3 linked regions of the Drosophila melanogaster genome follow. The protein of the gene in region 2 interacts with the protein of the main gene of each other region in a pairwise test. Each region holds a gene or a part of one and is shown on either strand. Other genes may lie near its edges.

Region 1 (8,658 bases), on a different chromosome or scaffold from region 2:
ACAGAGCCACAGGCTTCCTTAAAATTGGTGGCATTCAGCGGACTGAAGTAATCTTCGTGCAGGAAGCGAATGATGTTCTCGATGGGACAGAGATCGGCTTTGTTGCCCCTGGAATCCCTGGTGACCCGTAGGCTTTTGCCTCCCTCGCAGAAATCGATCTGCTGCGTGACATCCTTTCCATTGTACACCACCCGGAAGTAGTAATCCGTGTGAGCGTCGCTCCGGTAAACTTCGAATGCTAGTCTGGAGGCATAGGCTATGGTTTGGCCCTGGTTGGTGATGATTCCCAGGGCAGCTGTAAGATACTGCATGGTGCAGTCGTGTCCAGAGTACAGGACAAACTTCGTCCTGTCGCCAGAGATCATCTTCAGCATGTAGCTGACTATGTGACGGATCATTCCGTAGGATCGCAGCAATCCGGATAGCTTGTAGTACGAGTGACCAGCGGAGCGTTGCGATAGTTCGTCCGCAAAGGACATCAGGGTATCCACGTGGCTGGGCTCGACGCAGCCCTCTTGAGCTTCATCCGCCTGCACTGAGGGATTCCCATTTTCCACCTCAGGGGAGTCGGGTTCCACCTGTGTTTGTGCCTCCTGGGGACAAGGTAACATGAAACCTTCAACATTGCAGGAGCTCTTCAATAGTTACCTGCATCAAGTTGGCAGCTGTTTCATCCTGATCTATATTGATCACATCCACCAGTTCCTGATTGGAGTTCTTTCTGAGGGGCTTTGGAGTGGAAAGCGCTTTTTTCCTGCGACATGGCAAGGTGGCGTCATGGCATAGAACTGTCAAAAGGGCATCCACCACCTCGAAGGGATTGCTAATGCCATTCGGCGTGTGCTGCAGTATGGTGCCTCCGATCCACTGCATCACATCCAGGACATCGCCACGTTTCAGGAGCTGCTTATCACCCATGGCCTCCAGACGTTTTCGCAGCAGAGCCGACTGAGGACAGCTGCACTCGCCGAAGCAGAAAGCCATGCTATGCGATTCCCGGACATTCAAAGCCAGCCACTTGTCCGCCGGAAGCAAGGTGAACAGCATGGCCAATGCGGACTGGAAGGTGCGACGATAGCGAGTGGTGAAGACCACCACTTCATCCGAATTAAGAAGCGTGTGGGGCGTCGTTTCCACAGAGGCTCGGTTCGGATTCGGTTTGAGCAGGAGACCCAGTGGATGAGCATAGACCTGGTGCATGATGTCGCCCACGTGTAGCAGCTGCGAGATTCCCCTGGTGAATGAAAAGTCAGGCGTATGATTAATAGCGGCATTGAATGCCGGTAGTGCATTCACTCACTTGTAGGTGAGCTGCCCCAGTGGACAACCACGTTCTGTGGCCGGCAGCAGTGGAAACCCATGGAACGGCCCCACCTTGTTCCAGTACATGTGATTTGATCCCGAAGCGGAGCTGCTCGAGTTATACAGAAAACTGCGATACCTAAAGCAAAACCACGTATCAATGAATAAATATTTCCGGAAATGTGATAGCCCACCTGTTGACCAAGTTATCTGAGCCACCACTCACGCCGCAGTTGATGCCAGCACTGCGAACGTGGGATATGGGTCCCCGATCCCCGTGCCTGATGACCAGGAGCACGCCCTGAAGCTTCCAACCCTCCAAGATGCCGCCATCATCCAAACGCTGCAGCTGAGCCAACGGAGCACAGCGTTCTCTGTACTTGGCGAATCGCTGGGCAGTGGAAGATGGCGAACTATCGCCGCCCAAGGAACTGACGGTGCCAGACGAACTGGGTCCGAAAACTGAGCCACCGCTTGGAGTCGACTCAACATTGCCCATGTAGCGATACATTCCTAAAAAGGATTATCAAAGGCAAGGATTAGCTATTTGCCTATGAATATAACAAAGCACGTCCTATTCGAGTGTTGACAACCATATTAACTAATTGGGTCAACTTAAGAAATCTTTTCTTAGATTTATATTGAGTATATATTGAATGTTTTCCCACGATTGCCATTAATCCGCTACTTTTCCACTTACCCGCTATAAGAAGGAATATCCAGACGCTGAGCAGCACATAGCAGTAGAAGGCTCTGTGTTGGGTGGCCACTCGCATCAGTTCCTTGAGCAGCCTCATCCTGGCCAGAAAGTCCGGCTCTTAACTGCTGCCCGCTAGCTCCACTGCTGCTCCTCGGCATCAACTCGTTGGGCGGCACTCCTGGAGGGTTTCTGTCGATACGATAGCTCTGATATACTCCTATCCAGTGCTTAAATTTCAGGCTAGAGCTCCGCTGCACGGGGATTGCTTTTTTAATGCTAAGTGTAGAAAAAACAAGGTTCAAGCGTTTACGTGGAGCACGACTAATTGGCAGGGCATGCGCAATGGAGGCCACATCGTTATCAGCTGTTGGCACAGAGGTGGTGGACAAAGGGGGAGTTTGAACAGCCAAGCCTATATTTTTATATATGTATATTAATAAGTAAAAGCCGTGTGGTGTTCAGAATAAGCTTAGCATCAAGCTAGAGTGCACTCTTTAATAACAATCATGGTGTTCCCAATACATATGCGGCTTTGGCTCAATGCGGAATAAATATGCGTAAACTATTGACCGGCTGAAAGGCGGGGCTTCGTTCGCCTTTGCAGCCTGGTTTAAAATATGTTGGATATATAAATATATAGTCTGGCAGATCCGGGATCTTGGTGGTTCTCAGTTATGGGATTAGTTCCACCCTATTGTTGTGCCGCGGTCAAGGCCAAAACGGTGAAGCGCACTTCGTTGGGATCGCGAGCCATGAACTCCTTGCAGACCTTGGCCGCATCCTTCACAAAAGTCTCCTCCGAAGTCGGTCCGTGCTTGATCGGGAAGGACTTGCGGCCATCCAGCTCGTACAGAGTACCCTCCTTGTTCACCAGTGCGATGAAGTGGTGGATCACCTTCTCATGATTGGCGGCATTCGTCTGGCCCTCTTGAGCCAAGGCCTCATGATCGGCGGTGAACTTCTCGTCTTTTTCGAGGGCCCGTCCGCGTTCCTCCGGGGACAAGGAAGCTGTCTTCTCCAGGAAGTCCTTCAGTACTCCGCGGTCAATGTCCACTCTGGGGAAAGATTACATTTTGTGATATATAAAGAGATACGATTATTAACGATCTTATATAGAAAAAACGTCACGAACTCACTCTTTGTTGTTGGCCACGCTGTGGATCAGGGCGACGGTTCCACAGGCGTTGTGGGTGAACTGGCGCATGTAGAAGAGATCCTCGGGATGCTGCTCCTCCACCTCCTTAATCCGATCGTGCTCCTCGGCGCGGTGCTTCTCATACTAAAAATGGAACCTGGTTGGCCAGGATAATAAGATAAGAAGGTCAAGCTAAACCTACGGTTTCGCTGCACGGGAAGAGCAAAATGAACGCCTTTACGGGACGCGGAATCCATTCCAAGGTGTCATCTTCCAATCCAATGACGTCAGTTACCGACCAGGCTGGCGACACGCCCAGTTTATGTATGTACTTGGTCAAAACCTGGAAAAGTGGGAATGGGAAGGTCTTAATGGCGTCTTTTAACTTTATTATCCAAATCCGACATTTTGGAACAAAGAAACAATGAATGTGCAAAAACTGGAAGTGCGGTAGGCAAAACCTTTACAGGTAAAGTCATTACCTCGGGATTAGATTCAAGTGGCGTCCAGGTTAACATATTTTTGAATTTGGCTTTAGCAGTGATCTGATTGAAAATTCACAGGAAAATGAAGGATTTCTACACACAATTACCGGCACTTTTGACGAGCTTTACTTTTTTCTGAATGTGGTGTGTGAACATTGATTTGGTCGAAACATATCGATTATAAGCTTTTCAATTGTGTGTATTAAAGCAATTGATTCATGTAATCGATTAAGATTAAATGAAATAAATGTCGAAATGTCCATTCCCCATTTAAATAGCTATAGTTCTATGCTAACATTGAATATATTCACTTATCGATATTAGAAACCATTAGTGTTGATAAACGCGTTGAACGTATTTCCCAAAGAGGAGGTGTGCATACACTAGCTGAAGTAAACAATATTGTTTACAAAATGACCAAAGCGAATAAAACGCCGCAAAAAGCAAGTGAACCGAATATAAATGGTTCCTTCACACCAGTTCGATGTAAGTTGGCTCCAAAGACAAAAAAGGTTATTATTTCTTTGCATCGTTTCCAGATTTGGACAGCCAGCGCCTGCAATCGCCCACGAGTCACGATGCGAATTTAGCCACCTGCAAAACCAGATTGGAAACAATAGTCAAACAACTCCAGGATAACTACGCTAAATGGCAGCTGGCCCATCAGCGGGGCACCTCTATTTGCTATACTATCGAAGCCAAGAAGACCAAGTGTCTGGAGAAAAGCCAGGATGAAGGCAGCTCCCTTTACCCAGATGATCTCCTACTTCCCTGCAACAAGTTGGCCATCATAGCCTCTATTTTCGGGGATATCGCAAATAATACAAAGGAGATACTAAGACAACTGAGAGGCATATTAAAATTACCGGGATCTGCAGCGGATACGATATTCTACAGGTCCTGGAAGTTGCAGCAATTCGTGGTTTTCGCGAAGGAGCTATCCGAAAGATATGAGAAGGAGGCTCTGGTCAAAATGGAAGTTGCCGGTAGGAATAATAAAGCTCCTCTTTGTCGAAAGCAGCCCCTTTAATACGTTTGAAAATTCAAAGAAGCACAGATTAATTTCTCAAATTCGATTTACCATCTTAAATATAATCATGTTACTTTTCTTATAGGTAACATTGCTCACTCGACTGAAAGAAGCCAGCTCATTGCGCACACAACTTTATGGGAATTTCCCGAGCACGTGGACTCCTATGTCCATCTGGGGTTTCTTCTCCTTGCCGAAGAAGTCAGTTTAAGGCAATAAATTAAACAATTTTTCAACTTAATACAACATATGGTTTCTATCAAATGTTCATGTTGGGCAGTAAAACTTCATTACAGCTTTAGATTAAGCGAATGCTTAAAGAAGTAATAAGTAAATTCTATAAACTTAGGTCCTATGAGAAAATCGGAATGTAACTATTAAATGCATCGTTGTGCGTTTTTTTTAAGTCTGAACGGAGATCCGCTCCAGTCGGGGAGCGCTGCGGAACTTGGTCCACCACCAGAACCAGGCGCACGAAAATCCCACAGCCAAGGTGGTGTAATACAAAATAGTAGCCAGGCTCCACTTCTTCTGCAATGCAAATTTGTATAAAGGAAAATAATTTCTTATTGCTTGCTATATTCACCTTCTTGTGACTCTCGTTGCCCTGCACTTTCTTCTGGCTCCTTGCGTTCTGGGCATTAGCTTCGATTTTCGCGAGATCCTTGGCAATCTCTTCGGTGATCTGATTCACGCTTTTTAGAGTTTCCTGGGCAAAGCAGCTGGCATATCGTTTGTCGCCCACCACGACGTCCTCGGGAGTGGAGACCTGCAGCTTGTAGTTGGTGGCCGCTAAAGAAGCGCGCAGGGACATAAAGTGGTTGCCAGCATTGCCCAGAATCTGATTGTTGTAGTTTTCGGCTTCAGGATGGTTGCAAATGTATTCGTAACTGGGATTCTGGTTGGGAATCTTTTCGAACATCTCCAGGAGCTGTTGCCGTTGCTTTCGACACTTGAACCCGAAGAGTTCCAAATCTTCGTCGGTGAGAGAGGCCAAATCCAGATAGTTAATGTTCTCGGCAATAAGTTTGTCCACACAGGTGCTGGCGTAGTCCGTTTCCACGCTGGTAGAGCACAGTAGACCGTTGAGGATCTCCCTCTCCCGGCGTGTGTCCCTGTGAGCCTTTTGGCGAACCCAAGGACGTCGATTGTAGCCCAGGAAAGCACTGTCCAATTCCTTCTGCTCGGTGTGCGAGTGAAAGTTCTTTGTGGCCTCAAACTGAATGGTCGGCGGAACCTTGGCCATCGCCACCAAGGGGACATCCCCCGCGGACATTGTGTGCGTCTTCGTTGCCATAAACTCTGTCAATAATGGCAATTAAATTACCATTAAAATGCAATTGCGCTTAGATTAGATTCGCTGTTAAGAATCGGACGTTTACGAGCACTGCGAGTAGGGGTGGTCAAGATTCCTAACAGATTATGTTAAAAGTAACAGAAGTAGTAAGGGCTCTGTAAACATTTAAAACGTGAATATTAACAATTTAGTAATTTTATTTCCTTTTTCCTATTTCGCATTCTTGTACGAATCGAATTTTCTTCTAATGAATCACCCTACCCAACCAATTAAGATTAAATGCTTAACATTTGTATTTAAAAAGTATAACAAATTGATAAATTGATGACGATTAAGCTTCCTAACTATCCTATTTCTCGGACGATGACCTGTAGATTGGGGCACTGGTGGTGGACGCCTCCTGGAGCTTCTTCATAAACAGAGCCTTTCGCTGCTCATCCGCACTCAGTTTGGTACTTGAAACGGAGGCTTTGATGCGCTCTAACTTGTCGACGTTCGGCTCGGTTAACACCATTAGGCCGTACCCCATTCCTCCGAAGCCAATCAGCCACAAAACGGACTTAAAGTAGGGATTACTAAGCATTTTGGAAGCGGTCTCCTCTAGTCGCTTTTCTTCAAAGCACTCCAATAACTCGCATCCGCCTGTCGCACTGTGCTGTCTCCGACGATTTCACCAATTTTGTAGTAATAGTCCAAAACGAAGGGATAGTTCTCGTGAATATGCTGACGAAACTCTAGGAGCGGATTGTTATTAACGATCAAAATAATTATATAAATATCCTCCCACCTCGATTCGTGTTCATGCGATAATAAACGCCGTAGCTGGCTGCGAAGCAGACTGCCTCGAGGACAAACAGTGTTTTGGCACTTCCTTTGATGAATTTCCAAATTGCAGGTTTTGGTGTTTTGCGCAGCATTTTAAGTGGGAGTTGTAAATATTAAACACGTTTGCTTTCTTACAAAAAAAAAAGGAAAACAAAATCACCTACCAGCTTATCGATAAAACGAATTATCGAACTGGGCCAGTGCTGGCTAACATGCGGCCAACAGCTGGTCGACCGGCTAGTGTGTGTGCGCCTCTTCTTCTTGCCATGTAGTGCAGTGTTTATCTCACGTTTTTGTTTTTGCAAACTGATAACGCGACGCAATTTAGTCTGTAGTGAAAATTGTTTTTTTTTACATCGATGGAAAATCGGCCACGATGAGCGGCAATACACACGGACTCAGCTGGTTTCCACATTTTCCCGACAAATTCGTATCCTGGGGCCAGGAAATCCATTTATACGAAGTGCGCCGCAAAGATGATCACAGCCAAAAAAGTAGGGTTTTCCCCAAGGGATTATGCCACTTTACTTAACCGCCCCCCTTGCAGGTCGCCTGCCTTATATATCCGTGAACTACCTCGCCAACGAGTCGCGCTATCAATATGCCCGCTGCGTGGCCGCCTCCTACCACAGTGACCAGCCCATAATTGCAGTGGGTCTGGCGGATGGCAAAGTCGGGATTTGCAACTTCCGGGACACCTACGACAGCAGCTGGGAGTACAGTGGGTGGACGACAACGCCGATTCTTAGCTGCATCTAATAGTTCTTCATTTCTCGTAGCACCGCGTCAGCAGCGCATGTGCACCTGCCTCGCCTGGAACGAGCTGGATGCCAATATCCTGGCCATTGGACACGATCGCCATCGAAATGACACCTGCATCACCATCTGGGACATTGAGCGTGGAGTTCCCAAGGAGACGGCCAACTTCTTCGGCGTCGGCGAGTCGGCCAACTCCATTTGCTGGGATCGAAATCATCGCACGGTCATTGCGGGAATGAGCCAGAAGATGATAAAGCTGTTCGATCTGAGGCGTGAGTACACATAATGCGACTGGTTATATTTCAACTACGTAGTATTACTTTATTGCCCTTTCACTGATGAAATCTTTAAATCCCTTTCGCAGAGAGTAACGCCACCTGTCAAAGCATTCAAACAAAGACAGTGCAGGGACTTTCCGTATCCCCCAATGGCAACTATCTCTGCAGCTATGTGGACTCGGTGATCACTCTGTGGGATCCGCGAAATATCAAGAGTCCCCTCAGGCAGATTCAGTCCTCGAAAAACCATTTGCAGATCGCTTGGTGTCCGACCAGGACAAGCCTGCTTTCCTCGCTGCAACGCGATTCCTCCTACATCACTCTCTACGACATCCGGAGTGTGGACACGGACAATTCCGGAGAGATCTACCACGTAAAACGACAGATTAGCCCCTTTCCGGCTAGATACCAGCACAGTGGAAAGTTTTCGTTTGTTAATTGCCTGTCGTGGCATTCGAGGGATTTCGAGAGAGCTCTGCTTTTGGCAGATGCGCTGAACATCCTGGACTTTCGACTGCCAGCCACCTTGCACACGGCGCACAGCAATCGCCGGAAATTGCCACTTCTGATGCAGCGTCCGCTCTACACACCCGCCTCGCCGACTTCCACTGCGGCCACGCCCACTCAGCAGCAGCCCACGAGCAGCTGCAGCACGAATAGCGGGAGTTCCCTGGACTTTAGCACTCCTGGTGGTTCGCCCTTCAATGTGGACCTGCTGAAACCGGAACTCTTTGAGCTGGATCTGGTGGACGAGACGCGTCAGCGCGCTCTAGAGGATTACGGCATCAAACCCGATAACAAGCGATTCGGCGAACTCCACTTGACACCGTATCTGCGAAATGTGTGG
Region 2 (8,631 bases):
TCCACAGATTCCATCCGAGCAGTGATGGCAAATGATATTTCCCGGATAGTTGATAGCTAGCTAACTCATGCCCATAGTTTCAGAATCCCTCACTGATCGTGGATCGGATTGAATAATCCGAATGGACGTGGAGGTGCGGCTTCTGGTGCTCACGGGGTCAGAAGGTCAGTGGTATAAGCAAATGTAGCCAAGTAAACAATTGTTCTTAGCCAACTTTAATAGTGAAATAAAAATCGAAAGACGGAGCAATCCGGTGAAAACTAGAGGCCCATCATAGGTAACCGAATTGCAAACCAGATTAGGATCAATATATTTTGCAGCAAAGGAGTTGCGTAGGTGTTTTTTTTTTGTTTTTTTTTCTTCTACACAAGAGTACTTAGTGTAAATCGAGAAGAGTTCAAATTGATATCGCTACTTGGCCAACTTTGTGCCATATGTACACAGCAGGTTCAGGCGGAAGGTTTTATTCGATAAGTAGTACGTGCTATTGCTAACCTTAATTATGATTGCGATTGTGCATTATATTTGCAGGAGATCGACGTCTTAGGTAATAACCCCGTATGTTCCCGAAAACGAGCAACGTATTTATGTAGCTAAGCCAATGAAACAATTGTTAATTCTCACACAAAAAACCAAATACAAACGGACACTCTATAAAAAAAAAATGTTATACAGATTAACAAATGCAAGCAAGCTCACGCCCACTCATGCGATATGTTATGCAATAGTTAAGTTGCCAGTTGCACCTCGCGATCGATCAGATATATATTGTATTTGAATTATTGTTAATGCTTACACGGCCTGCGTTTAGCCCACTTTAACTATATCTATACTAATGTATAACTCTGTCCCGCTCCATTTCGATTCCCCATTTCCGATTATGTGCCTCACTCTCTCTTTCCCACACCCCCAAGAATATGTACTTCCAGTCGCATCCGATCCGGTTGCAGACTATATTCATATATTCATATATATATATATATATGCGCTTTATATATACCGCTCACCGGCTAATCTTCAATTATTTTGTCCGGCAAATGGATGGTCACTTTTTAAAATGCAACTTTTTACCTTTGCATAACTTTTTAGGCGACACAACGTAAGAGAATTAATTAAAAATGAAATGCAAAACTTAACTATGAAATACATATGTAAACTTTGTAGCTTCCTAATTGAATAAAGATAAATACAACTCACACGAATTTCGAACCATTTCATCATCGTCTTTTCATTTTGATGGAAGCACTTAAGTATATTTCTCGTTTTCACGTACTCTGTTAATTATTTACACTTTATAGTAGGTCATTACACATAAGTGGGCTTCTCAAGGTGTGAGAGATGTTTTACATATAATACTAGCACACGAGTCAAAATTCCGAATGCGGCGCTGTTCAATTTGTGGTCAAGTTGGAGTCCGATTCGGGTCTGGACAAAAGCGTGTGGTGGTCAGGTCCTGTATGCATGTATGTGCTATATGTGCTATCATATGCAGGCGGATGCGTGGAAGGGAGCATGGTGGGTGCGATGTGCTTGGTTGGTTGGTTGGTTGGTTGGACATGGTTCGTGGGCGGTGTTAGCGTTTGTCTTACAATTAAAATTCAGTACAAGTCTAAAAGCTACGACGGAGACGTGAGTGTGTAAGTGGGTATGGGTATGCTTAACAATGCCTAACATAAACACCTGAACAAAGGTGTGCGGCGTCTCCTTGTGCGCGTGCAAAGAGGCTGTCCTTAAGTCTACGCGGTTCTTGCGATTTATTGTAAATGTTGCTGTTTTACTGTTGCTCCTGTACTGCTCCTGTGCTGTACTGGCCGTCTATATCTAGTCCGGCAGATCGATGCTGACGAACGGAACCACCGGCTTGAGAATGTCATTCTTGGCCCCCTTCTTGCTCTTCTTGTCGTGCTTGTGGAACTCGTGCAGCTGCTCGCTGGCCGCCATGCTCGTCGAGGAGGACGCTGCGTCCAGCGGCATGGACTGTGCAGCATTGCTGTGGGTTTCCGGGTGATAGCTGATGTTGCCGTACTCCTGCAGGAACGGCATCGCGGACAACAGGAACTGGCTGAAAGACTTGCGGATGCCGAACCACCACATGTTGCCGCCCTTTGCCGAGGAGCTAAGAACTATTAGCGCCAGAATAGAGACGAGCAGCGGTGAGAAGACCACGATGTACGGGAACTTAAGCTCGCCGTCCAGCTTGTCGCAGATGACCACCTGGCGGAATAGATGGGTTAGCGATGCACAATCTTTTGGAGGGACTAGATGAGGTCTCACCTGAAAGCAGAGCAGTGGGAGCACCGTGCAGATGTTGCCCACCGCTGCGTTTAATGCCGCCTTCTTCTGCTGCAGCGAGACCTCCGGCGTACGCATCATGATGCCACAGAAGATGATGTTATACAATACGCTGACCAGGCTCAGGCATATGACGATCCACATGGGCACAAACACTACGTCCCAGTTCCAGTAGACAAAGCGATCCAGCTTTAGCGGCAGTGAAACAAACTGAAGCGCGTTGACCGCCAGGAAGAGCTCCAGCTCGAAGGAGCGATCGTGCTTGACGGCCCAGACACAGGCGCCCACACTAACCACCGAGCCGAAGATCAGCGGAATGAAGACCAGCACCCACAAGTGACGGTCCGAGGTCAGCTTATCGCAGGCCAGCAGCTCAAACATCAGCAGGATCAGGTGCAGGGCCAGTGAGATGAGCATCGCTTTGAACTGCGTGTAGGCATCGCCCTCGAGACGATAATGCGGATACCGACACCACACAATGGCTCCTACGATTGCGCCCAGGATGGCGGTGCATTTCCATATCCATAGCGGTGTGAAAATCGCCCAGTAGGGCCAATCTGGGATAAGGCATTCGATTAGACTAGGCTACTAGGCCAATTATAAGGTTAATGCCCTACAATAAATCTTGTTCAGTAATTAAAAATCTAAATATTTAGCTTAGATAAGTTATTTAAAATAGCGAGAGAACTAATATCCTCGTTAAGTGACCAAATTTGGATGATCCTCTATGGTCAGACGATTTCTTCGATATTGCTATATCCAATCTCATGATCTGCTTGCTAACCCTTGTATACAATAAATCTGGACTATTCTCTAGAAGAAGCGATGGTGCACCGTACACATATTTGTGTATGGGTCGTATATGCTTGTATTGTTATATGATTGTATTTTCTTGCATCCCCGTGCTATTTTAATTCTGGGTGACGTTGTGTATTCCAGAACTGCCACAGAAAAGTACCCACCAATGTAGTTGTCGAGGCGCAAGGCGAAGAGCGTGACAAAGATGAACAGGCTGCAGTGGACGATGAACTTGCTGAAAGGGAACATGGTCGATTATGTTTTAGATTGGGAACCCATGTGATCCGGTCGTCCGCAGTCGGAGGCTTCTCACCAGGGATTGAAGTCGCGGAACAGAGATTCCAGATTCATGTTGCTGAGGACACCATAGAGCTATGTCACTGGACACTTGGTACCTGGACACTAGTTGCTCGTGGGCACCCGCCGCACCGCGTCCGCTCCACGAAGCGATCTTCGCCCGAACAAGGCTGTGTGTTATGATGGAGTGGGGGGGCGGGGGCAGTTAGTACTCTACGCCTGGCGCCGATCTTTCACCCCTTTCCCTGTAGATATTCTGTTCTTTGTTTTATTTACACACTTTTTTGACTGGCATTTCTGTCCCGAGATTCGATATCGATAACTCTTGCCTGCTCTGGCGATTGGCTTGACTAAGGACTAGCCAGATGTCTGGCTACAATTCGCCAGATTTCCGGCTACGCTAGCCTGCTATCGATAGCCTCGATAGGCACAGGAAAATGTTATCTTATTTGGAAGATTTGAAGGAAAACGAGGACCAGCTGCGGGATTCAGACTGCTGCGGCAATGGCTGCACCAACTGCATCCTCGACAACAAGCCACGGCCAAGCAAACGCGTCCTGCTGGCTGGCAAACGCAACGTGATCCTGAGCTACACGAAGTTCCGCCTGTTGCGGCGGGAAGCGCTGGGACCCAATGGACAGTTGCTGCTCCTGCACTTTGCTCATGCAGCAGAGGAGGGGGACGGCGATGGAGCGGTGGACACGGTGCTTGACATCCCGCCCGGCCACCATGTGATGCTGCGCGTCGGCTCCCTGCTGCGTCCGTATTCGCCCTATTGGAGCGACTTTGTGGCCAAAGAGTTCCGTATCCTGGTGAAGCTGCAGCCGGAGGGGCCAATGTCTCGGCACCTGCAAGCCGTACAGCCCGACGATCTGCTGGAATTCCGTGGTCCCATCGGGCAATACGTACACGAACCGCAGCCGGCCAAGTGCATCTATATTATCGCCCAGGGAGTTGCTATTGCACCCACTCTGCCGCTGGTTCGGCAGGTGCTGGACAACGAGGAGGATATGAGTCGCCTGTGGCATTTGGTGTGCGCTCACGACCTGCTGCATGTCTACTTCCGCGAGGAGATGCTCGAGTTCGCCCAGTTCTGGAACTACAGGAGCTGCCTCTACCTGCCGCATCAGCAGTGTGACTCCTCCGCTTGCCAGGAGGCGGGCCACTGTGCCCAGCAGTGCCCTCAGCTCCGGGACAATCTACGCTACAAGGAGACGGCAAAGGTGTCCCGATTAGATGCCACCGAACTGGCCACCCACCTCAATCCCGCGATTCCCGGACAGCGTGTCCTCATCGTGGCTGGAGATTCAAGTTTTCAAAAGAACATCGCCCAAATAGCAACACAATCATTGGACGTAGATCCGGCAAACATTTATATGTTGTAAATGCCGGGAAAAACTGTAGTTGCTTATAAATATTTGAATATTGTTAATGAATTTGTGATCGTACTGGTTATACCGAGGGTTTTATATTTTTTATACCCTAGATTCGTTGAAAAGTATGTAACAGACAGAAGATATACATATATTCTAGATCTGGATCAATAGCCGAGTTGTTCTGGCCATGTCCGTCTGTCCGTATGAACGTCGAGATCTTAGGTACTATAAATGCTAGAAGGCTATCACGCCCACTCTAACGCCCACAAACCGCACAAAACTGCCACGACCACACTTTTAATAAATGTGTTGATATTTTTTCACATTTTGATTAGTCTTCATTAATTTCTATCGACTTGCAAACAACGTTTTGCTACGTCCACTCGAACGCCCAAAACTGCCACGCCCACATTTTTGAAATATTTTTAAATTATTTTATAAGTCGTGTAAGTTTCTATCGATTTAAAAAAAACTTTGGCACGCCCACTCTAACGCCCTAAAACCGCCCAAACCTGCCGCGCCCACATTTTTGAAATTTTTTTTGGATATTTTTTAATAATTTTATTAGTCGTGTAAATTTCTATCGATTTACAATTTTTTTTTTGCCACACCCAGTCTAACGCCCTAAAGCGGCCATAACTGCCACGCCCACACTTTTGAACAATTTTTATTCCCCAATATCTATCGATATACCAGAAAAATTCAGAAATTTCGCGTTCGCATTCACACTAGCTGAGTAAAGGGTATCTGATAGTCGGGGAACTTGACTATAGCATTCTCTCTAGTTGGCATTTGAAACTTTTACATGTTTTCTATACTTCCAATTAAGCATTTGAGTGTACCGAAAATGGAATGTGTACTTCCATAAAGGAGGAGGAGTTCACTTCTTCATCATCAGTAATACAGGTAACTCCAACTACTTCTACTGTTTTGCCCACACTTGCTACTTTTAATTGGTTATAGGGCATCTATACTTATCGCTGCTAAATGAACATATGGTTTTGGCCATCCAGGTGGCTCTTCAATCCATTTCGCTGTCGGCAAATCATTTACTTTGTTAAAATCTGAGCATTGCAGTTGCAATTCTCATACCAAATGTATCGATCGGGATTTAATTGTCTTTAAAAAAGCCGACTGGTTTTCGCTGTAATTAATACAATTGAGCGTCTGGTTATTCACTGGATGAATCGAAAGGAAACATTATGAATCCAATTGCCATTAAACATTCTCTATGGTCATCTTTTTATTTGACCTCCTGTGTCCACAACATGGTTATGATTCCATTTGACTATTAGTGATCCAATCTAATTCAAGTCATACCAAGTGGATGATATTTTAGGAATCAACCCAATTGGTGTTCAGATTGGAATAATCTGAACACCAATTTGAACATACCCTGTACCTTGATTTTGAGAAACAAATGTGTTTGTGCCTTAACAATTCGTTATTTCGAAACATTCTTTACAAAATAATTTGAATTACTTACAAACAATAAAAAGGATAATTTTATTTTGAAGCAAACTTATTGTTACAAGACAAAAACGAAAAAAAAAATAAAGTAATTTAACTTAAATACTGTGAGTTGATTCAAGATCTTTTAACATTTTCTTCATGGATGGATAATGATAATGGATAAAGTCAATTTGGAGATCTGCTCCAGTTATATTATAAATCCTCGGGCTTCGGAGGTTTTTTCAGTCCTGTAGCTTCAGGCTCTTAATGTAGTCAATGAGTAGCTTGGGGTGCACATGTTTGATCTCCTGAACAGGCACGGCTTCCCCCCACTTGGATCCCTTCCAGGTGACAATGAAGTAGACCGTGTCACCAAGCATATAGCTGTACATAACATTCTCAATTGCTTTGCCGCGGACCAGGAGCGCATCCGTAGGCGGCACGTTCAACGGTTGGGACTCATTGGAATTGCCGCCATCGAGATTCCCTGACACGCTGCCACCGTTGGTTGCATCCAGTTCTGCCTGTTGTACCAACAACTCGACGAGCAGCCGAGCCAGCTCTGCCCGAGCCGAATTGTGAACTCCCATGTGCTTTGGAGGCGGCGTCGAACCGGCCTCCTTGGATTCATCCTTTGTCGGCTCTTCCTGCACTTCCTCCTGCTGATCGTTCTCCTTCTGCTGATCGTTCTCCTTCTGCTGATCGTTCTCCTTCTGCTTTTCCTCCTCCGCGGGGAAACCACCTGTGTTCTTGTTGTTGGGGCTGTTTTCTTTGTCCGCCATCGTTTAGCAATAAAGTTCTCTTGCAAAAGTAAACCAAATGAATTCACGTGCAATCGTTAAATGAAAAATGGCGGCAAGTTTCCGATTGCTGAAGCTGCCAGCTAGTGCGAATTGCATTTATTAAAAAAAAAAAAAAAATGAATAAGACATTAATATTTTCAAACTCTGGCAACGCCCTAGATTCAAATCATAGGTTGGTTTTCGGCCAAGCGTCCAGTGCGTCTAAAACTATGTTATCTGACTTTTCTGGCGATTGCTTAAGTTCCGGTGGCGGGCCCATCAAGTGGGCATATTTGGCCAGATACGGAGTAAGCAGCTCCATGGGCAGAGGAAAGATAATGGTGGAGTTCTTCTCGGCGGAGATGCTGCTCAGGGTTTGCAAGTAGCGCAGCTGTGATGACAGAAAAATTCGAATGGCTGGTAATCCGTGCTCAACGATTGATTTCAGCTTTTACTAGGACAACACCCACCTGCAAGGCCGATGGACTGGCGGAAATGACATCGGATGCCTCCTTGAGCGCTGTGGCGGACTTCTTCTCACCCTCGGCGGCGATCACCTTGGCACGAGCATCACGAGCTGCCTCCGCTTCGGCGGCCATGGCACGCTGCATGGAAACGGGCAGGGAGACATCCTTGCTGTCAGCGGGTGAAGTGCATACAACGTACAGATGTTAAGAAATACTGATCTGATCTGATGGATGTCAAATGCCTACTAAATGGCTACTTACATCTCAACGCGCTCCACCATGACGCCCCACGGCTCGGTGGCCTCGTCCAACGTGGCCTGCATATTGTGGGCCAGGGTTTCGCGCTCGGTTAGCAGTTCGGACAGGTTGCGAGTGCCGACGATATTTCGGAGCGTGGTGGCCGCCAGGAGGCGAGTGGACATGCTGTAGTCCTCGACCTGGATGACCGCATAAAGGGGATCACTGATGCGATAGTAGACAACGGCGTCCACAGTGACCGTCACGGAATCCTTCGTCAGCATCTCCTGCTGCGGCACATTGAAGGTAACCGTGCGCAGGTCCACCTTGCGGTACTCATCGATGCACGGCAGGATGAAGAACATGCCGGGACCACGAGCTCCGCCGCTCAGTCTGCCCAGCCGGAAGATGATCGCCCGCTCGTACTCCGCCACCACCTTGAAGCATATGAAGATGGCGATGGGCGATGTGATGATGAAGATCAGCACGGAGAACAGGGTGACCACCCATTCCATGCAGCCCTTGGGCTCGTTCTCCGCTGCAATGGGATGTTAGGAATATGAATATGAAATATTCATCTACAAAATGGCCATATTTCAGGCATATGTGTACAATAATTGTGCCGCAAGAGAAACGTAGATAAGTCCACTTCAATTCGATGGCCAAGATGAAGTACCTTCTTTGTCCGGATTCCGAAGAGACCAACTTATTATTAAGTAAAACAGGACTATGATGGACTATGTAACAACTTGAAAAAGAGAAAGCTGTGAAAAGCAATAGCCATCACAATCAAAAAAAAGAAAACACGGATAAACACCAATCAGCCCGCTTATCTTGGAGTCCAATAAAAATTCCTACGATTAAAAATATAGACAGGTGTAATATATATGCGCCAATACAATTAGAATGTTGTAGCAATTGACGATTATG
Region 3 (13,278 bases), 2.6 Mb from region 2:
TCCAGCGTTACTCAGTATCTCCCACACCTACATATTTGTCGAAAGAGCGACACTGGCACACACCAACACTTCCATAAAATTTCCGACAATCAGTTCTTATCGCAGGCCCAGAATTTTTGTATTGTGATAACGGTCCGATTTCGATAAGCGTCCGATAAACCACAACAGTAAAAGCGCAAGCAAATGCTGCACCGAGAAAAATGATTTAGCTGGTCCTAAACCAAATAATCAAAACTAATTCAAAAATTTTTGTTTTGTGATAACGGTCCGAATTCGATAAGTCACAGCAGTAAAAACGCAAGGAAATGCTGCACCGGGAAAAATGATATAGCTGGTCTTAAACAAAATGATTAAAAATAATTATTTATTATTATTATGTGCAATTTTTAAGTACCTGTTGATACAAAAGCATTTTAAATTATCATATTACGTGTTAGGGCTTAACTCAAATAATAATATATGTACATATGTCGGCTGTCATATTATTTTAATGTGTTTCCACATACACCATAATATAAATATATGTATTTATGACATCTCCATTTATTTTTCAGTTCGTTAAGTGCGGATATGCCGGCAGCAATTTCCCCACCCACATTTTTCCCTCGATGGTGGGACGACCCATGATTCGGGCGGTCAACAAAATCGGCGATATCGAAGTCAAGGTATGATCCATCGTACTTACCAATTAAAGTATCTAAAATTAATTAACAATATGATGAGATAGTACAACCATATACACTACACAAATTCAATTGTGCACAGGCCATCAAATACACGAATATCCATATATTATATCATTTTTTTTTTCGATGTAACTACTCCATGACTAGTTAAACGGCAAGAAATACATTTAGCGCATAGAAGTTCACTATCCACCAAATTACCCACCATATTTTTTCACCCCTAACCCATCTGATTTTGGAGTGGAATTGCTCTATTTTCTATTCTGTCTATTAGTGTCGCATATCTACTTACTTCTATATAATTTGTTTTCGATCTACCCCATTCGCATATCGTTTCATTTACCATCTTGATTTCATCACTTCTGGGGGTCACTTATCCCAATATTGCATTTTTGCTTGAGTTGCATTGGTCTCGGTGTGTGGGCCCTCATATTATTATACACATGCATACAAAATATATAAATATATATTATGGTAAATATATCATGCTAAAAGTTGGTCCGTGGATATCTGATTTTAACCAAGGTTTAGGCATAGCTTAATAAACTGTGGATATGGAGGCTGAACCCCGCAGACATTAAGCTTTTTTTTTTTTTGAGTGCATCACTTGATTTTCGATATATAGATCTTACTTAGAAGTTCTTTACTTTAGACAGAAGAAACATCAAATTAAGAATCATTAAGAACACATCTTGAATAGCAATAAAAAAAAAAACGATACAGAAAATAAATATTTTTAAAATTGTAATCTTTCTGTTCTTTTTTAATATTCTTATACATTTTTCTGTTCTTTTTTTCACATATATTTTTAAAAACAAATGTTTTGCAGGATTTACATGTCGATGTAAGTCAAGTTTGTATAGTTAAAAAAAAAACCAAAATCCAAACTACCACTACCAGAAATCTAATCACCAAGTAAACATAAAATAATAAAAATTTGTATACGATTGACACAATACGAAAATACCAAAAACCAAAATAACACACGCTTGGCAAAATATTGCGAAATTTTTTTGAAGTTCAAGCTGCGCACTTAGGATTTAATTAATTAATTAACTTAACTGTTAACTGTTCACATTTTTCACTAGTTGTTTGCCTTGAATATTTTCCCAACTATATTCCGGCCCCGTCCAACTATCTTGTTGCTTCCTTTTGGCCATCATCTATAATTGTACTCCATCCACAAAATCGACAAAATCCACAATCGAAAAAAAAAAATTAAAAAAAAAAACAAATCTATTAATTCTCATATCGGATAAATCTGAGGCGTGTTTAAAACCGAATTCCAATCGAATCTGTTCAATTTAACGACAAATTTACGTAAATATAATTTTTGTTATTTAAGTTTTACTCCTATGTTTTCATACCATTTGTTTCCTAGCTTACACCCTTTGGTTTTTTTTGTACATATCTTAAGGCAACCAAATTCAGTTGCTTCTCGTTTTAATTGTGATTTGCTGATTTGAAATTGTTATGTGTTCTCGTCTGCATGATGTCCTGTGTCTGCTTAGCCCTATTTTAATCCCCCGTTTGTTTTGCACGTCCCTGTGTTTGCCAGTGTTCCGGAAAGGCAAGTCCTTTTCCGCAACTACTCACACTCACTGCTGCCTCTTGTTAATCGTTGATTGTTTAGACGAGTTTAGTTGCATTCTTGTAGTGTGCTCGCTGTTATTGTGCCTAACACCTGTGTATGTCTCCCACACTAATGACTAACCATCCCAGCCTCTAAGCAAATACCCAACCAATCAACCATCCAACCAACCAAACAGTCCAAACCAATCCGAATCCCAATGGCTATCCATTGACCAAGCCACGGACACTAACGCTGCGTCCTCTGACGAACGAATTTACAGGATCTGATGGTCGGCGATGAGGCCTCACAGCTGCGATCCCTGCTGGAGGTCTCCTATCCGATGGAGAACGGTGTGGTGCGCAACTGGGACGACATGTGCCACGTGTGGGACTACACGTTCGGTCCCAAAAAGATGGACATCGATCCGACGAACACAAAAATCCTGCTAACCGAGCCGCCCATGAATCCCACAAAGAATCGCGAGAAGATGATTGAGGTGAGGTCATACCATATTTTAAAATCCCACTTCAAACTAACATTGTTGTGTTTGTGTTCACAGGTGATGTTCGAGAAATATGGCTTCGATTCGGCGTACATTGCCATCCAGGCCGTGCTGACGCTATATGCCCAGGGTCTGATCTCTGGCGTGGTGATCGATTCGGGCGATGGTGTAACGCATATATGTCCCGTCTACGAGGAGTTTGCCCTGCCCCATCTGACGCGACGATTGGACATTGCCGGTCGGGATATCACTCGCTATTTGATTAAGGTTGCTTTGCCTTACAATTACATATAGCCAAACTGTGACTTATACTTTCGCATCTATCTATGATCATTAGTTACTGTTACTACGTGGCTACGCTTTCAATCATTCCGCCGACTTCGAAACGGTTCGCATAATGAAGGAGAAGCTCTGCTACATTGGCTACGACATCGAGATGGAGCAGCGTTTGGCCCTGGAGACGACGGTGCTGGTGGAATCGTACACGCTACCCGACGGTCGTGTTATCAAGGTCGGTGGCGAGAGATTTGAGGCGCCAGAGGCTCTGTTCCAGCCGCATTTGATCAACGTCGAGGGACCGGGCATTGCGGAACTGGCCTTCAACACCATCCAGGCGGCAGACATCGACATACGGCCCGAACTCTACAAGCACATAGTTCTGTCCGGCGGCTCCACCATGTATCCGGGTCTTCCCAGTCGGCTGGAGCGTGAGATCAAACAGCTGTACCTGGAGCGGGTACTCAAGAACGATACGGAAAAGCTGGCGGTAAGTTGTCAAGTAAAGCTAATCAATGCACATCGTGTTTAACAAATTGAACGATTACATTGCAGAAATTCAAAATACGCATTGAGGATCCACCGCGACGCAAGGATATGGTCTTTATCGGCGGAGCTGTTCTGGCGGAGGTGACAAAGGATCGCGACGGCTTCTGGATGTCCAAGCAGGAGTATCAGGAACAGGGTCTCAAAGTATTGCAAAAGCTGCAAAAGATCAGTCACTAGAGGCGGATGGATGCGAAATCAGTGTGTGTGTGTGTGCGGACCGCAAGAAATAGGATAAAAAAGTGATAGATTTCTTTTCTCTATTTTCTATAGGTTTAAACCTTTCAGATTTACGTGATATATCCGTCTATATATGTTTTTTTTTTTGTGTGTGCCTGTGCGAGTGGGCGTGTCTGTTGAGCAGGATTGGTCCACTTGCCCTTAGATTATCTATAATCGCAGACATGTCGTCACTGGTCGTTATCCCCGTACAATATAATGTAATATTTCTTTGAGCGCGAAAACTTTAATTCGATAGTCGCCTAAATTGTGTAACCCTGCATTAGTGTGTTTAATTGTTTATAATTACGTCTAAAATTCAAACCCAAAAGCCCTTTTCTTTAATGAATACGCATATATAACTATATATATATACATATATAAATTCAAAGCACCTCGAGTGCGGCGATATTTTTGTAAACGCAAAATGTTTCATTTCCAGCGAGTATTTCACATTAAGTATTAACTAGGCCAAGTCTGCTAGTAGCAGCTACTAAAATCGTGTGTGTGTTAAGACAGAGACAGAGACAGAGGAAATATAACGAGGAAGTTGCATAGCACAGAAGGAGAAAGCGCGAGTTCGGTCGTTAACTAAATACACTGATTGATTCGATCCCGTCTCGCCTCCCGACACTCGACCTTAAAGTAAGCATTTCTGGATTGTCTCCAACTAGATAAAGATGAAGTTACCTACCCATAAAGATACAGATAATCGAAGTCACAAGATTACGCATTTACGTTGCCCCATAATCGAAAGTACCATCAGTCGAAGTGTTAAATTTGATTTAATTTCCTTACCTGCCTTTTCTAGTTAGTTGCAATTTGATGATTGTTGGGGTCGCAACTATCGGCATATGATGAATAGTATATACATATACATATGTGTGATCCATATACATATATCCGTATATGTAAAATGAATGTGGAATGCCAATTATGTAAGTGAATGCAATAAACGTAATTATGTATGATGTGTACTGTATACTGTAGTCTAAAACTAAATCGCATACGACTTTTTTATGGTTTTTTTTTTGCCAAATTAAAAACAAAACAAAAATGACAACAAGAGAGCATGCTATAGTCGAATTCCCCGACTATCAGATACCCGAAAAGAGTTGTTTGGCAAATGGATAGAAATTTAAGAGACTAATAAAAATATGAAAAAATTCAAAACTTTTTTTTAAAAGTGAGGGCATGCCCGTTTTGGGCGGTTTGTGGGCGCGGCAACATGGGTCAACAAACAGTTCTTGAGATCTCGACTTTCATGCGGACGGACACGTCCAGATTGACTCGGCTATTGGTCCTGATCAAGAATATATATACTTTTATATGGTCGGAAACGCTATTGATCGTGATCAAGAATATATATACTTTTATGTGGTCGGAAACGCTTCCTTCTACTTGTTACATATATATGTAATTACCAACGAATCTCGTATACCCTTCTGGTCTATAGTAAGTGTTTTGTATTCTTGTTTCTTTCAAATAAATTTTTAAATTACTTTTGCCTGCATAATAAAATTTCAGTTGGCAACAATGGCCTTAGCGAATGCACCTTCCACATTTAGCAAATACGCCTAGCCTTACAGTTTAGCGAGTATATGAACCTCGTGTAGACAGCGTTGCCCCTTTCGATTAACATCGATTTACAGTAATCGGGTTCAGCTGTTGTTCGTTGCAACTTTCAAGCTAAATTAAAATAAATCGAAACCGGCAAAAAAAAGGAAATCGACTTGACATAGCATTGCCATGAATTAAGTGCTGCAAAATGGATATAATATTTTCTCAGGATGTGCACGATGAACAAAAGTTTCTGGATTGTGCGAGGAAACTAGAGTACGACGAGTTTTCGGCGGTAAGGACTTGCTTTGTACATAAATCCTTATGCACACGTTTTCATTGCTTAAATCTTGGTTTTATAGAAAATGTTTGTATTCTGCAATAAGCACAGCGCTTTGGATGTGTTTGAGCTAATGGGCGATGACCGGTTGTCGCAGTTACTCTACGGATGGGAGGTGTGCCACCTGCCTACCAGGGATTCCGAGTCGCTAAAGGACCCAGCGCTGCGTCACATGGTCAGGGTTTTGGTCTACCACTCGCTGCTGATGTGGTTTAGCCAAGAGTGGAAGACCTGCTCCGAAGGCCTCAAGCAGCTTTTGCTCTACACCCTCACCAAAGCAATGCCGGCATTCCATCAGATTGGTGAACTGGCCAATATCAACTGGTCGTACGTTCTGCAGTTCCAGACGAAGCCCTGGAGCCTGCCCTACCTGCATCAGCTATTTCTTAACCTGGAGCTGAATAAACAACACGGCATCGAACACAAAGTTCAAGCGGCATCAGGAGAAGGTAAGCCATTACTAATTTTCGTCAAGGATTCATCTAATCATTGCCTTATTTCTTAGATGTTGCTTTCCTCATGCAGGAAGGGGTATCTCTGGCCCTGCTGCGACTAATCCAGCTCTTTAACGCCGGCAACTTTGAGGCTGTAAAACAGCTGGCGCTTCGGATGCTAGCTGCTTGGCTGAAAATCCACGAAAATGCACCATTTGTGTCCTTTAAAGGGGATGAAAACACAATTACACTAATCGGTCATGTATGCCTCTTGGCCGCTTTTGTTAGGGATGATAATCAAGGCTTTGTGATTGATAATTTGGTAAGGAAAACATTCATCATGTAACTAACATAACAAAACTAAATGTCGTCATAAAACCACCTCGTAGATGTACAACATAGGGTTCTATGTCCAGATCATGGAGGAATTTTCGAGCTCACATGATATTAACTTTACGCCAGCTCGGCTTATTGCCCGCGTTTGCGTCCGTCTTCGACTCGGAAAGAATGCGTTTTTTGAGAAAATTGCATTTAGGAAATTCAATCTATGTATGGTCACTTCATTTGCCGTCATACTAGATGCCTACTCCAGCTATGTGCTGGGAAATTTATTGATGGATCTTCAGTCGCTTAACGAGCACGATTTCCTGGAGCACCTGCCACAGTTCAAAAAGCTAATGGATCGCTATGTAGAGGAGCGCGAGAGCAGCGAGCGCTTTCTTCTAAACGAGCTCAAGAAGATGGAACAACAGCGAAACAGCTGCATTGAACCGCATCTAGTAAACCTAATTCTCAACTACAAGCAGCAGATATGCAAGGGAAATCGAGCCAGCAACATAAGCAACTACAAGAACAGTGATGACGACGAAAAGATTCAGCCTGAGGTGGGCGAAGAACAAGATAGACAAGTAGATCCGGTTTTTCAAAATGTACCAAACAATGAGGAAGTTTTGAGCTTTGTGTACAAATTGCTGGCAGAGCGGGTAAGTGATGAGAACTAACAAAAGCGAAAACTTTACTAAGCACCGCGCTTTTTTAATTTAGAATTTTTCAGGCTGGAGATTTGCTAAGATTGCTCTGCTGCTGAAAATTATTGGGCAACAAATAAATGCATTAGAAATGTGGAGATATCATCCCGGGTTAACCGTTGATTTTATGCTCGATTTGGAGCAAAAGATGTCTGCAAACTATGCTGACCTAGCCAAATTGTTCTCTGACCATGGATTTATGGAGGCAGAATTCTGGCTGACTGCTTTCTACCTCCACCCCACATCATCAAATTATAACGAAGTAAAGCGCTGTTCGTGGATCATGAAAAATCGACAGGAGGAGGGCGGGCTCCCTGCTCCAGCGATTGGCAACGTCAAGTACGAACTGCTGAGCTCCACCATCGATGTGCACCAGATTATGACCATAACAAACCATGAAGATCCAGTGTCCGACTACGATCCAATAAACGAGTCGCTGAAGGCGTTGCGTCTACCCAGCAACATGACCAAGGATCTTCTGACCGTGGTCTTCCAACCGCGACATAAACAATACTCATGGGCTCTCGATTGGCAAACGCTAGACGAGCGTTGCAGTGCCCTACTCAAAAGCCAGGACCTGAAGAGAAAATTTGTGTCTCTTAACATGGCCGAATCATGCGACGACTTGAAGTATCTCCAGATCGACTATGCCAAGTACAGGGATCGACCACAGTTGGACTATGGCACCATAGAAGAGGGCTACGAAAATGAGACTAATCTCTCGAATGCAGCTGGAAAGGCTGAATCAACACCAGCAGTGCATGATAAAGCAGAGAAAGCCAAGGAGCTGAAAATGCGGCGACACGCAAAACGCAAATGTTGGTATGAAGGTTAGCAACGAAATCTTTTTTCTTTGAGCAACTTTCATATAAGATTAGATTCAGTCAAACTAATGAATTGAATTTTAAATCCCACAGTTTCGGAAGACGAGGAAGAGGCTGCCTCAAGTGATTCGGAGCCCAGCTACACAGGAAATGGCCGCCGAACACAGATTAGAGCCGCAGCCATTGCATCCAAAGCTAATGGTCGCCGGACTGGGATTAGAGCCGCAGCCATTGCAGCCAATATCAAATTGTCTGAAATGTCCTTTCCAGAGACATCGAATAGGCGCTTTTCTACACAGCCCGTCGTCAAGGAACAGCCAAAAATCGCCGTCCAGCCTAAAAAACAAAAAACAGTATTGTTTTCGAAAGAAGAGGATGAGGTTTCCTCAAGTGATTCGGAGCCCTGTTACACAGGAAATGGCCGCCGGACTCAGATGAGAGCCGCAGCCATTGCAGCCAAGGCCAAATTGTCTGAAATCTCCTCTCCAGAGACATCGAATAAGCACTTTTCTACACGGTCCATCGTCAACGAGCAGCCAAGAATCGCAGTCCAGTCTCGAAAACAAAAAGCAGTAATGTTTTCGAAAGACGGGGATGAGACTTCCTCAAGCGATTCGGAGCACTGCTACACCAGAAATGGCCACCTGAATCGGATTAGAGCCGCAGCCATTGCAGCCAAAGCCAATTTGCCTGAATTGGATCGAAAAGTGAGCGGTGGGCGACGATCGATCTTTCCAGAGGCATCGGGTAATCACTTTGTTACACAGCCCGTCGTCGCGGAGCAGCCAAAAATCGCAGTTCAGCCGCAAAATCAACAAAAGCGTACAATTGCCGAGCTGATGAAGTCACGACCCATGTTTACCAACGAAACGAAAGGATTTAAGCCGATCGCCGACATATGGAGTTTCAGCAAGGAAGAGCTAGAGAATGTGGTTAGCGGGCCCAACGACATGATAGAGTGCAGCTCGATTATAGCCAAAATGAAGTTATTGAAGGACCTCAAAATGGCGAAATCTGCAAAAGCAGCCGGACAGCCATGTTCACAGCTCGTTCGCACAGGATCAGAAACTGAAAGCGTGAATTCCGAAACTTCCACGATGGCTACACACGAATTTAACGAGAAGGGGACCACTGTAGGTTCCCCCGGTGAAGGTAAAGAGCAAAAAACACCTTCGCCGACCGCAAACTCCGAATTAAGCACTGAAACAGAAGTGTTGAAGCCCACCGATGAGACTGAAGCGCATATGATCCATGACGCCCTAAAAACTACAAACGTGCCACAGAAGACTCTGGACTTACAGTTCTTGTCCAAGAAGCACATAAGAACTGGATAACAGACCCAGGAGTCCCCAGGAGATGTCATAGAAACTAGTGATCTCAAACAGGTCCCCCTAAATAGCCTGTTCAAAGTAGAGGGACTGGATGCAAGACAGGCGACAGGAAAGCCAAAAAAAAAGGAACAAACGGAACAGGATCTGCCAAATACTAGAAAACACAAAGATAAGCTTCACATGCAACGCCATTTTTTTTTTTTTTGTTATTTCTTTACTTACATATATACCATAACTACGTAACAATTTATTATACAGCCTCGATGTTAGTAGAGATGTGAAACCGGATAAGGTACTGCCGCAAAGCATTGCTTCGCATTAGGGGCACCAAAGATTTGGAACCTCACGATCTTGGTGCTTTCCGGAAAAGCAAACTGTAGAGCCATGTGAGACTCCGGACATGAACCCGAACTTTCTGGATCTCGATGTCGATTCGAGGACAAGCACCCGATTGCTGAAGTAGCTACCTACGGCGTGCAGCAAGTAACCTGCTACCTAAAAACCAAGTGACCGTGGAGATCGCGTCCAGCGTCGACAATTCTTTCCGGAATCCGTACTGGTTTGTAGAAAGTCCCCATGCAGCCGATATTGCTGTGTTGAGCCTCGCCGCGATCACCTTCTCGAAGGCAGATGGGTCTTTACGAGAAGGGTTCGGCAGGGTGCTTGCCTTGGTTGCCTTCTATGGGATCCGATCGGGTCCTGATTTCTTTCTGGTTTTGAGGCTTCTCGCAGCCGCCAGAATCTTGGGCTACGTGACCGGCCGCAAGTGGTCAGCTTGACACGTCTCCGCTTATCTGCCAAGTGGTAATGGTCTCCTCCAACTTCGCTGCCATTTTATCCGCTGCTGCGTTCGCCCAGTCTGCCTCGTCGATTGTCAGCTAGTGAAGAGAGCCGTCTAACTCCTTCAGTCTCATGGTGTCCTGTCGGTAGGCCGTATGAGGCTGCTTCCTGGCTGTCGAGTGCTCTTGTGCCGATTTCGACCTGGATCTCAACCTCTGATCACCTCTACCTTCCCGCATATGGCTGCTATGCTTGTTCGGTCTAAAACCCACTTGTTACTGGCCTTAGCCTTGTACGGCTCGCAGAGGAGAGCCACCTCTGTCTTTAGATCGCGATCGGTCTAGGTAAGCCACCCAGCATCCAAAGATTCAAATTATGTTTATGGCGAGCACCTCGACATCCGGAGGGGCATTGTTTGCTACCTTTATGCTTCGTGCTCTTCTTGCCTTCAACTTGCCCCCTTATCCATGCAGTTCCGTGTTAGAAGCAGAAACTTTCTTGATCATTAAAAGGACCATAAACACAACAAACATATTAAAAGAGTTTAAAAAGCCCAACGCAAAGTATCGAAGTGCAATTAAAGAAGCTATCCAAAAATGAAAACTGTGATATCCTAAATTCTCCAACATTCCTCTAGATTATAAAGTTAGCTTAGTCTTTCCTAAATTAAAGTCACAAAAACTGCTACAAGACTACAACTTGACTAACAAGAAGATTGCTCTCTCTCCAAAGGGCCACCTCTCTATAATATCATTGAACTTTTCCCGAGCCTTTGACAAAATAGGTATCCGCTTCCTTATACACCAATTAGGTCTCCTTAATTAACCTTTCCTCACCCTTTTGAACAATATAAATCAATGTTGCACTTTCTCAGGTGCGGCTAACTTTCAATAGACAAGTGCAAATAAATACAAATGCAAACCAAGACAAGAGAGAGTGCTTTAGTCGAGTTCCCGACTATCAGATACCTGTTACTCAGCTAGTGGAAATGCGAAAAAGAAATTTCATCATTTTTCTGTGATATGAATAGATTTTAGGTAATTGGGTAATATTAATAGGTGAGTTTTTTCAAAAGTGTGGCCGCTTCAGTTTTGGGCGTTAAAGTGTGTCGTATCAAATCGTTAAAAAATTTACAAGACTAATAAAAATATACAAAAATAACAAAGCATTTTTCAAAACTGTGGCCGTGACAGATGTGGGCGTGGCAACATGGGTCTGGAAGATGCATGCTTAATCTTCAACATTCTTGCTTTTATAGCTCCCAAGATCGAGACGTTCATGCGGCCAGATTGATTCGGCTATTGATCCTGATCAAGAATATATATATATATATATATAATATGGTCGGAAACGCTTCCTTCTGCCTGTTACATAACTTTCAACGGATCTAGTCTACCCTTTTACTCCACGAATAATGGGTATAATAAAAACAGAAACAAACCCAACCAATCTTAAAGCGTTTTATTACCGGGTGACTTCGAAGTTCCCACAGCCAGCCAAGCAATTTATTGCCCCCGATCGAAATGTTATTTTAACAATTCGCCTTCTTTGTGGCCGTAATCAGTAGCAAATTGTTTAGAGCTCATCTAAACAAAGTGCAATATATTGCAATGCGAAATAACAACAAACAAAGGAATTCCCAATATAACTTAGACAAGCAGGTAGCGGATTTGTACAGTCACAGGTTTTAAAAAATAAAACAATTGAAATTTTTGAAAAATGAACTAAATTTGAATTGATAATATTTCAGCATTTTTATAGATTTTATTTATTTTTATTATTTCTGCTCCTTTTCTTCTTTGCTTTAGTTTTTTGTTGACCCATTGTTCGTTCGACTTTCCCATAGATACGCTAAGTTAATATGCTTATCATTGCCCACAACGACGATAAGATGCACTCAATTGAATTAGAAATTCCCACCAAGACCTTTACATTTACAAACCAACCTGATTTATTCATATTATTATTCACACCTCCGGTTCGCACCTGAGCCCGTCCGATAAGAGCAAATCGAACCGTCTGCTCGATGGCCAGATAAAGCCTCTTTGTGATCCACGACCCACTCCAGCACTCGGATTCGTCGGAGTAGTCAGAGTTGTTGGTCAGTTGGTGTAACGACGCAGCATGGGCAATGTGAATAAAAATATCGGACGGCTGCTTGTGGCGGTGGGAGTGCTGATGATTCTGGGATTGCAAGGTGTCCGATCTGAGTATGGCGACCTGGCCGGCAATTGGCTGGTGGATTATGATCGAGACGAGCTGAATTTTTTTGAGGATTCGACTTGGAGCGTGGATTTGCACATATACAATGTGTTACCGAAGGACTCTTCGCTGGATTACTACTTTGTGGTGTACTCCAAGGATGATCGGAGGGCGTCATCGCCACCGCTGGAGATAAAGAAGGAGGATTTCGATCTGTTGGGCAGCTGGCGGGGAGCGCTATATGTGACTGGAGTTCGCTTTGGATACAGTTCACTGGAGGTGGAACTGAAGTCCGGTGCGGTGACGGAGACATATCCAAAACCCCTGCCAATAACAGTGCTCAGAACACAGGTGGTGGACGAACGCATCACCACCTATGTGTCCGCCGCCTTGGCTCTGCTGATGTTTCTCAATCTCGGAACAGTATTGGATATGCAGCGCCTGGCGGGCATCATCTGCCGACCGGTGGGACCTGTGGTGGGTGTGGTCAGTCGATTTGTGCTGATGCCCGCCGTGGGATTCGGACTGGGTCGTGCTCTTTGGCCAGACAGTTGGCCACTCCAGCTGGCCCTGTTCTATACGGCACTTTCGCCCAGTGGCGGACTGGCCAATGTGTGCGCCGTCTTCCTTAAGGGAAATATCAATCTTTCTGTGGCCACCACCACGATCAATAGCCTGCTGGCCCTGGCCTTGCTGCCCATTTGGATATTGGTTCTGGGCCGGATACTCTACGAGGACGATGAGCTAACAGTGCCGTTTGGCCAGCTTTCCGGAGGAGCAGCTGCCCTGGTGGCCTGTCTGGCCATCGGTGTGCTGCTGCGACTCTGCCTTCCGCGGACCACTAGGTTCATCTTTCGCTTCCTGAAGCCACTGTCCGTCGTACTCAGCTTGTGCCTCGTGGGCCTGACGGTGGGTCTCAACTCGTTCGTCTTCTACGAGTTCACCTGGCAGGTGAGTGCCGTTCCCCATTTGATATA

What was found.
Region 1: the proteins of HP1D3csd (region 2) and CG34174 interact in a two-hybrid assay, tested with the Drosophila melanogaster proteins (one large-scale study listed by BioGRID).
Region 3: the proteins of HP1D3csd (region 2) and CG9902 interact in a two-hybrid assay, tested with the Drosophila melanogaster proteins (one large-scale study listed by BioGRID).

What each region holds. Positions count from the first base shown.
Region 1 is NT_033779.5:2,210,277-2,218,934, forward strand, and holds CG34174 (uncharacterized protein), read left to right. Parts: upstream 1-3,989; 5' UTR 3,990-4,035; coding exon 4,036-4,108; intron 4,109-4,161; coding exon 4,162-4,608; intron 4,609-4,695; exon of another isoform or gene 4,696-4,737; coding exon 4,738-4,871; 3' UTR 4,872-4,891; downstream 4,892-8,658. Other genes in the region: CG15385 (uncharacterized protein), read right to left, coding at 1-593, 649-1,234, 1,301-1,441, 1,497-1,815, 2,003-2,099; Uch (ubiquitin carboxy-terminal hydrolase), read right to left, coding at 2,694-3,057, 3,139-3,281, 3,340-3,480, 3,620-3,655; daed (daedalus), read right to left, coding at 5,055-5,183, 5,239-5,949; CG15386 (uncharacterized protein), read right to left, coding at 6,299-6,532; CG42371 (uncharacterized protein), read right to left, coding at 6,550-6,683, 6,737-6,866; mio (missing oocyte), read left to right, coding at 7,151-7,268, 7,322-7,495, 7,554-7,805, 7,898-8,658.
Region 2 is NC_004354.4:19,188,642-19,197,272, reverse strand, and holds HP1D3csd (heterochromatin protein 1D3 chromoshadow domain), read right to left. Parts: upstream 7,060-8,631; 5' UTR 6,998-7,059; coding exon 6,458-6,997; 3' UTR 6,244-6,457; downstream 1-6,243. Other genes in the region: CG14194 (uncharacterized protein), read right to left, coding at 1,822-2,214, 2,275-2,849, 3,255-3,325, 3,404-3,441; CG7914 (uncharacterized protein), read left to right, coding at 3,825-4,772; Mec2, read right to left, coding at 7,185-7,388, 7,468-7,633, 7,726-8,239.
Region 3 is NC_004354.4:16,539,727-16,553,004, reverse strand, and holds CG9902 (uncharacterized protein), read left to right. Parts: upstream 1-5,484; 5' UTR 5,485-5,570; coding exon 5,571-5,657; intron 5,658-5,724; coding exon 5,725-6,151; intron 6,152-6,207; coding exon 6,208-6,458; intron 6,459-6,525; coding exon 6,526-7,119; intron 7,120-7,180; coding exon 7,181-7,994; intron 7,995-8,081; coding exon 8,082-9,322; 3' UTR 9,323-10,881; downstream 10,882-13,278. Other genes in the region: Arp2 (Actin-related protein 2), read left to right, coding at 555-665, 1,516-1,530, 2,540-2,755, 2,819-3,028, 3,099-3,527, 3,593-3,763; CG9903 (uncharacterized protein), read left to right, coding at 12,224-13,252.